2 linked regions of the Ovis aries genome follow. The protein of the gene in region 2 interacts with the protein of the main gene of each other region in a pairwise test. Links are inferred from orthologs where the notes say so. Each region holds a gene or a part of one and is shown on either strand. Other genes may lie near its edges.

The links.
Region 1: the proteins of GRAP2 (region 2) and GAREM1 interact in binary tests that used the Homo sapiens proteins (3 or more experiments, as listed by UniProt). The link is inferred for Ovis aries from reciprocal best matches to the Homo sapiens genes GRAP2 and GAREM1.

What each region holds. Positions count from the first base shown.
Region 1 is NC_056076.1:25,032,731-25,037,138, forward strand, and holds the start of GAREM1 (GRB2-associated and regulator of MAPK protein 1), read left to right. Parts: upstream 1-1,379; 5' UTR 1,380-1,824; coding exon 1,825-1,945; intron 1,946-4,408.
Region 2 is NC_056056.1:217,145,170-217,148,358, reverse strand, and holds part of GRAP2 (GRB2-related adapter protein 2), read right to left. Parts: intron 1,023-3,189; coding exon 900-1,022; intron 282-899; coding exon 102-281; 3' UTR 1-101. UniProt on the Homo sapiens protein: Interacts with SLP-76 to regulate NF-AT activation. Binds to tyrosine-phosphorylated shc.

The sequences.
Region 1 (4,408 bases), on a different chromosome or scaffold from region 2:
TGTTTGTTTTGTCTTCCATGTATTGTACACTGAATGTGTACTGAAAAATATAAAGAACTGATCTATGTAACCCTTTCACCTGGCCACCACTTGCCTCTGCTGGTGTGTGTGCTGTGTGCCAAGTAGCTTCAGTGGTGTCCCACTCTTATGGACCTATGGACTGTAGCCTGCCAGGCTCCTCTGTCCATGGGGTTCTCCAGGCCAGAATACTGGAGTGGGTTGCCATTTTCTTCTCCAAGGGATCTTCCCAACCCAGGGATCGAACCCAGGCCTCTTATGACTCCTGCATTAGCAGGCAGGTTCTTTACTACTAGTGCCACCTGGGAAGCCATTATTTTCCTGGTGTAAAATAATCTTAAAAGAAAAAAAGTAGCACTTAAAAGTTAGGATGTGCTTAAAGAAACAGGAATCTTACAGCTACCTCTGAGCTCTGTCTGCAGGGAGTAGGCCACAGTCAATATTGGGGAAAACAGAGTGTTTATCACAGAAAGTGGACTGTGGGCTTGAATCCAGGCGTATCTATCTACAAGTGCTCAATCTTGCCAATTTACCAAATGTCTTGGTACGTATATCTAGAAAACGAGAATTAGTCCAACCCTGGGAGAGAAATGAGTGAGAAAAGCATGTGACAACAGCTGGTTCCCATCGCCTCCCAGTAAATTGGCGTGTCTGTGGCTGTTGGTCTCAATCCCCGCCGTCTCCAGCAGCTTGTCGGTAGGTACAATGAAGGTGCCAACCCGACAGTCATCTTCCCTTGTGTGGATACTGATAATTCGTTACCTTTCTGTTTCTCGGTGATTAGGCCTTTGTCATTCCTCCTTGTAGCCAGAGTCTGGTGTAAAATAATCTTAAAACTTGAGTGTAGACTCAAGGGGGTAACTTCCAGCTGCTTTTCTGGAGAGTTTTAGGACTGTCGGGGCGGGGTGGCGGGAGGCACGCCAAGGGATGGATGCTTTTCCCAGCTGTGGCACTCTCAACAGATGGGCACCACACAGATCTCTTGCGCCCTATAACAGCAACTCCAGCGCCACGGTGAGGGATGGACAGAGAGGGAGCTACATCTTCAGGACGAGTGAGATTCCCGAGCTCGCCGTGTTCCTCCGGGCAGGCCCCGGGAAAGCGAAGGAATGCGGGCGTGCGGCGGCGCCTGGCGAGGCTGCAAGGCGCCGGAGCGGTCGGACGGGGGAGCGAGAGCTAAAGCTTGCGGAGCGCGCCCAGACGCCCGCCGGATCCTGGAGCCGCCGCCTAGCCGAGCCCGCCCGGCTGCGGGGGGCGGGGGAGGCCGAGCGGGAGGCGGGGCGGGGCGGGGCGGGCGGCGCCGGGGAGGCGGGGGCGGGGTCTCTCCGAGCTGCGCAGGCGTTGCTCGCACCTTGTTGATTAGTCAGTGCTGGGAGCGCTGCTATGGCGTTTCTCAGACCCGCGGCTCCTCCTCACACGCTCCAGGCGGAGGGAAGGAGGGGTGAGAGGAGGAGGAGGCGAGCGGGCGGCCGCCGCAGCTGCAGACCCGGGGCCAGAGGAGGAGGCGGAGCGGGAGCCGCCGCAGCCACCCCGGCCGCCGCGGGGCTGCTGCCTGTCCTCTCCGGGCTTGAGGGCACGCGGGGCGCCCCAGCCATGCCCCGCAGCGGCAGCTGAGCCGGTCGCGGGCCCCCTCCGTCCCTCCCTCGCTCCCGGCTGCCGCAGCCGCCGCCGCGCCCCCGGGCTGCCCGCGGCCGGAGTGCCGGGCGCCCCTCGCGCGTCCCAGCTCCGCGAGCGCGAGCAGCGGCGGCCGCCGAGGCGCGGGGTGGTGCCGGCGGCGGGAGCGCGGGGCCGGAGGAGGCGGGGAAGATGGACCCGGCGCCCTCGCTGGGCTGCAGCCTCAAGGATGTGAAGTGGAGCTCGGTGGCCGTTCCGCTCGACCTGCTGGTCAGCACTTACCGACTGCCCCAGATCGCGCGGCTGGACAGCGGTGAGTCCCCGCCCGCGAACCGCAGTCTTGGCTGGGCTGTGCGCGCCTGAGCCGGGGAGGGTGGGACCCGGTGGGGAGTGGGGTGCCCGCCCCCCAGGCGTTGGACTTGGCCCGCGCAGATGCCGCAGCCCTAGCGCGTCGCTCTCAACTCCCCCCAGCAGCAGCTAGAGATGTGAAAATCAAAGCCCTTGCAGGATAATTAAAAAGGACGCCAAAAAAAAAAAAAAAAAAAATCAACATTAGGGAAACCTCTGCAGATAGTAATCTTGGAGGCGAGCTGTCCCTCCCTACCCGCCTGCAAGAATTACTCAACCTGAGAAACCCTGAAGAGTTAGCTTAGGTAACTTTCTCACAAAATAATTGTGCTTTGGGTGGCATCTTTATTTTGGCAACTCTCCCCCGCCCCTCCCCAAGAAGGAGCGGATTTTAGGGGGAAAGGTCCTGGATGACCAATGAAAGAGATCACATTTCTCAGAGACCTTTTATTACAGCTTGTCTGTTTTGTTTAAGTCAACTGAAAGTAATTTAGAGCTGTGTGTAGCAAATGTTTTTAGTAGAGGTGATGGTATGCTTAAGGTTAATTATTAGCTTAGCGCATTTCCAGTCTGGAAAAAAAACTGAAGTCCGGAAAACCTGTATTGACCTGGAACCTGAGCTCAAAACTAAGACATGCTTGTGTTTCCTGAAATTGACAACCAGAGACTAACCCCACGTTTCCCAGCTGTTTGTTCTGCAGGTTGACATCTGCAAACAGGTAGATAGATGTGCATACTGTCAAGATACTTTTCGGTTTGAGAGCTGTGACAGACAAGGTGGCAGTTTAGGTGTGTTTTTCCTTTTGTGTTTTCGTAATAACTTCTGTTGATTTTGGCTTCATGCGGTTTCAGACTGTTTGCAGAAACAAGCTGGCCTCTGCTATGGGGCTGCTTGAAGCACCTGGGCCCAGGCCGGCAGGCAAGTTGATAAAGCTGAGCTCACGCCAAATCAGCACTGAGCAGAAAGGTGTCATTTCTGCTCAAAGGACTTGGGTTGCTCCTTTTTCTCTGGAGTCCAGGCATGTGTAACATGAGACGTTATAAGCATCTAAAGGCATTTTTGTTCCCTTTCTTCTGAGGAGTTAGATTAGACGTTTGAAGTACTGCTGTGAAAAATAAACGCAGGAGAGTTCAAGATCACTGTAAAACAGTCTCGCCGTGCTTACTAGCTTTGTTTAATTGGTGGTGGTAGTCGTGGGCATTGGGAATAAGCTAGGAGTTCTGAAACTAGTGATGAAGGGCAAGTGAGTTCAGGGATGGTCAGGTGGTATGTTTTGAGGCATTTCTGCTTAGAGTAGGAGTGCTTTAAATATGTGTCTGCAGGTCTGAATCAGAGAGAGTGTGTGTACTCTGAGTTTCATTTATTCTTACATTGTGTGACATTGTGTATACTGAAAGGTTATAGGATTCCTCACTTTTTCCTCTCTCTCATCTCTGCTCACTTCACCAAAACTTAATAGCTAGATGGTGTAAAAGTCACCCAAAAGTTTCATTAAACAAAATTTTAAGAGGCTGAATGTCAGTTGCAGACATAACTTTCAGCTTTACAATCCACTTTCTTCTCTCCCCGCCATTCATAAAAAGGATCTGAATCAGCAGTGTACTCATCCCACACTTCTTTTTCAAATTAGGACGTGGGTAGCAAGTCTTAACAGTGTGTCCTTTCAAGCTGTGGAATGGATGTTGATCATTATGTGTAATTCCAATTCCGTATTGTAAAGTTTCTCTTATTACTGCTTGAGGATCACAGTGGCCATGTACAAATTTGGAATCATAGCCAAATACTGCTTTATACTTTGGTCCTTTCACTTAGTCTCATCTTATTTTAAAAAAAAAAACAACTTTTTTTAAGCTACATGCTGTTTCATGGGATGATGGCTGTACCATATATCGAGTCCCCTGCAGTGGACACCAAAGCTGCTTCATTTTATGAATTTTAAGTTGTGATGTAATGAATACTCTTATACATAAATCTATTTGTTTGGGTTAGGATATATTCCTCCCCTGCTGAATAAACACGTAAATCCTTTTTAAGTCCTTGTTACACATTGCCAAATTGCTTCAGAGACTAAAGGTTGTACTCATGCTCAAGGGAGAATCATGGGAGTAGCAGCTTCCCTACAACCTTAAAATAATAAGTATTTTACAAACAACTAGAACCAATAAAATTTGCTAATTTGAAGGGCGGAAAGTGTTAGATTACCAATTAAATTTGGATAGACTTTAAAAGAGTTGGTCATAGATTCCATGTTTATTTTTTAAATGTGTCACAGCAGTGCGCAGAACACATTAAGGACATGCCGCCATGCTGTATGTGAAATTTGTGCAGCCCTCATCCCTGTGTATGTCCTTTTGCCAGCTTTAGTGCTGCAGGTACATTTTATACACACACACACACACACACACACACACACACACATACACCCTA
Region 2 (3,189 bases):
TATATGCCTGCATGTATGTGTAGTTCCAAGCTTTTCTTCCTTGTCCTGTCCCTTGCAGGCAGGCAGCTTCAGACAAAAGCCTCCGTCCCCTCCAGAGGGCCTCATCGGATCATGGGTGCCACGTAGTTGGCAGGGAAGAGGCCCAGCTTGTTGTGCAGGCGGCCGGTCCACCAGGAGGGGTTGGAGCTGTCCAGGACCTCAACCACCTCTCCGCAGCGGAAGCCCAACTCGTCGTCCTCCAGGGCCTCGAAGTCATACAGCGCCCGGGCCCACCGCACCCGCTGTTGGGGAAAAACAGAGGGGCCCTGCTGAGCCCGGGCTGGCCAAGCTGGGCTCTGAGTCACTGGCACACACACGGAAGAGAATCTGCTGGCCCTGTGGTCCAGACAAAGCTCTCCGTGAGCAGCCTGCCCTGAAGGCTGATGGATGGCTCTCCAGAGTGGTACCTCAAACCCTGCTGCCACTGAAAGCAGACCCGGGTGTCTAGCCCTGAGCAACCCCTGAGCCTATCCCCCAAGGCCCCGAGAGGATCCCTACATCAATAGGTGGTCTTTTTTATCTTCTTCAAGTGACAAACAGAGCACAGCATGCCCAGACTAATAGCCTCGGTGCCAGCACAGCCTCATCAGTGACAAACGCAACAGGCCTCCCCCTGCTAGAATGGCAGCCAGGAAGTACGGGCACCGGGCAAGGCCTGACGGCCAGACTGAGGGCAGCAGGCCGGATGATGCCAGCTGGGATCAGCTCTGCCGCGAACTCTCGCCCCACCGTCACTGGCTGGGTTCCCTCCACCTCTATGTGAACTCCACGCAGTGTGAGGCCTCTTCTGGAGGACCAACCGTCTCTCTACTTGGCCCCTCGGTCTCCTCCATTGAGCCCAGAGAGGGACGTTCACATACCCCAGCCACTTGGAGCTGCACCGGGTCAGTGTGTCTCCGGTGCATGAGGGCGGCATTCATTTCGGTGCCCATGCCCAGGCCACAGGGCCCATCGTTTATGTCCAGGCTGGTTCCACGGCGTTCCTAGAAACGGATGTGACAGATAGCCATCACCACACTGCTGGAAGCACCCCTCATGGGCTCCCCCAGCGCCTTGCTCCGATGCTGCGGACGCAGCCAGAGCTCCAAGAATACTTACTGCACGGGACAATAAACCCCAGATAAGGGAGAGAGGGTATAGGGTGACAAACAGACCTGAGGTTGTGAAGATGATGCCAGATTTCACCCGTTCAACCAAGGACTATTTATCAGGCACCTACCATGTGTCTAGGACTGTCTTAAGCGTGGGGATGTGTATCTGGAAAGAGAAGGCCCCTGTCCTCAGAGAACACAGTTCAGAGGGGGAACCGTATGCATTTATGTGATGAGTGAGCAGAGCTCTATACAGTCAACAAAAACAAGACCAGGAGCTGACTGTGGCTCAGATCATGAACTCCTTATTACCAAATTCAGACCCAAATTGAAGAAAGTAGGGAAAACCGCTAGACCATTCAGGTATGACCTAAATCAAATCCCTTATGATTATACAGTGGAAGTGAGAAATAGATTTAAGGGCCTAGATCTGATAGACAGAGTGCCTGATGAACTATGGAATGAGGTTCGAGACATTGCACAGGAGACAGGGATCAAGACCGTCCCCATGGAAAAGAAATGCAAAAAAGCAAAATGGCTGTCTGGGGAGGTCTTACAAATAGCTGTGAAAAGAAGAGAGGCGAAAAGCAAAGGAGAAAAGGAAAGATATAAGCATCTGAATGCAGAGTTCCAAAGAATAGCAAGAAGAGATAAGAAAGCCTTCTTCAGCAAACAATGCAAAGAAATAGAAGAAAACAACAGAATGGGAAAGACTAGAGATCTCTTCAAGAAAATTAGAGATACCAAGGGAACATTTCATGCAAAGATGGGCTTGATAAAAGACAGAAATTGTATGGACCTAACAGAAGCAGAAGATATTAAGAAGAGGTGGCAAGAATACACAGAAGAACTGTACAAAAAAATCTTCACGACCCAGATAATCATGATGATGTGATCACTAATCTAGAGCCAGACATCTTGGAATGTGAAGTCAAGTGGGCCTTAGAAAGCATCACTAAGAACAAAGCTAGTGGAGGTGATGGAATTCCAGTTGAGCTATTTCAAATCCTGAAAGATGATGCTGTGAAAGTGCTGCACTCAATATGCCAGCAAATTTGGAAAACTCAGCAATAGCCACAGGACTGGAAAAGGTCAGTTTTCATTCCAATCCCAAAGAAAGGCAATGCCAAAGAATGCTCAAACTACCGCACAATTGCACTCATCTCACACGCTAGTAAAGTAATGCTCAAAATTCTCCAAGCCAGGCTTCAGCAATACGGGAACCGTGAACTCCCTGATGTTCAAGCTGGTTTTAGAAAAAGCAGAGGAACCAGAGATCATATTGCCAACATCCGCTTGATCATGGAAAAAGCAAGAGAGTTCCAGAAAAACATCTATTTCTGCTTTACTGACTACGCCAAAGACTTTGACTGTGTGGATCACAATAAACTGTGGAAAATTCTGAAAGAGATGGGAATACCAGACCACCTGACCTGCCTCTTGAGAAATCTGTATGCAGGTCAGGAAGCAACAGTTAGAACTGGACATGGAACAACAGACTGGTTCCAAATAGGAAAAGGAGTCTGTCAAGGCTGTATATTGTCACCCTGCTTATTTAACTTCTATGCAGAGTACATCATGAGAAACATTGGACTGGAAGAAGCACAAGCTGGAATCAAGATTGCCGGGAGAAATATCAATAACCTCAGATATGCAGATGACACCACCCTTATGGCAGAAAGTGAAGAGGAGCTAAAAAGCCTCTTGATGAAAGTGAAAGAGGAGAGTGAAAAAGTTGGCTTAAAGCTCAACATTCAGAAAACGAAGATCATGGCATCTGGTCCCATGACTTCATGGGAAATAGATGGGGACACAGTGGAAACAGTGTCAGACTTTATTTTTGGGGGCTCCAAAATCACTGCAGATAGTGACTGCAGCCATGAAATTAAAAGACGCTTACTCCTTGGAAGAAAAGTTATGACCAACCTAGATAGTATATTCAAAAGCAGAGACATTACTTTGCCGACATTACTAAGACATTACTAAGTCCGTCTAGTCAAGGCTATGGTTTTCCTGTGGTCATGTATGGATGTGAGAGTTGGACTGTGAAGAAGGCTGA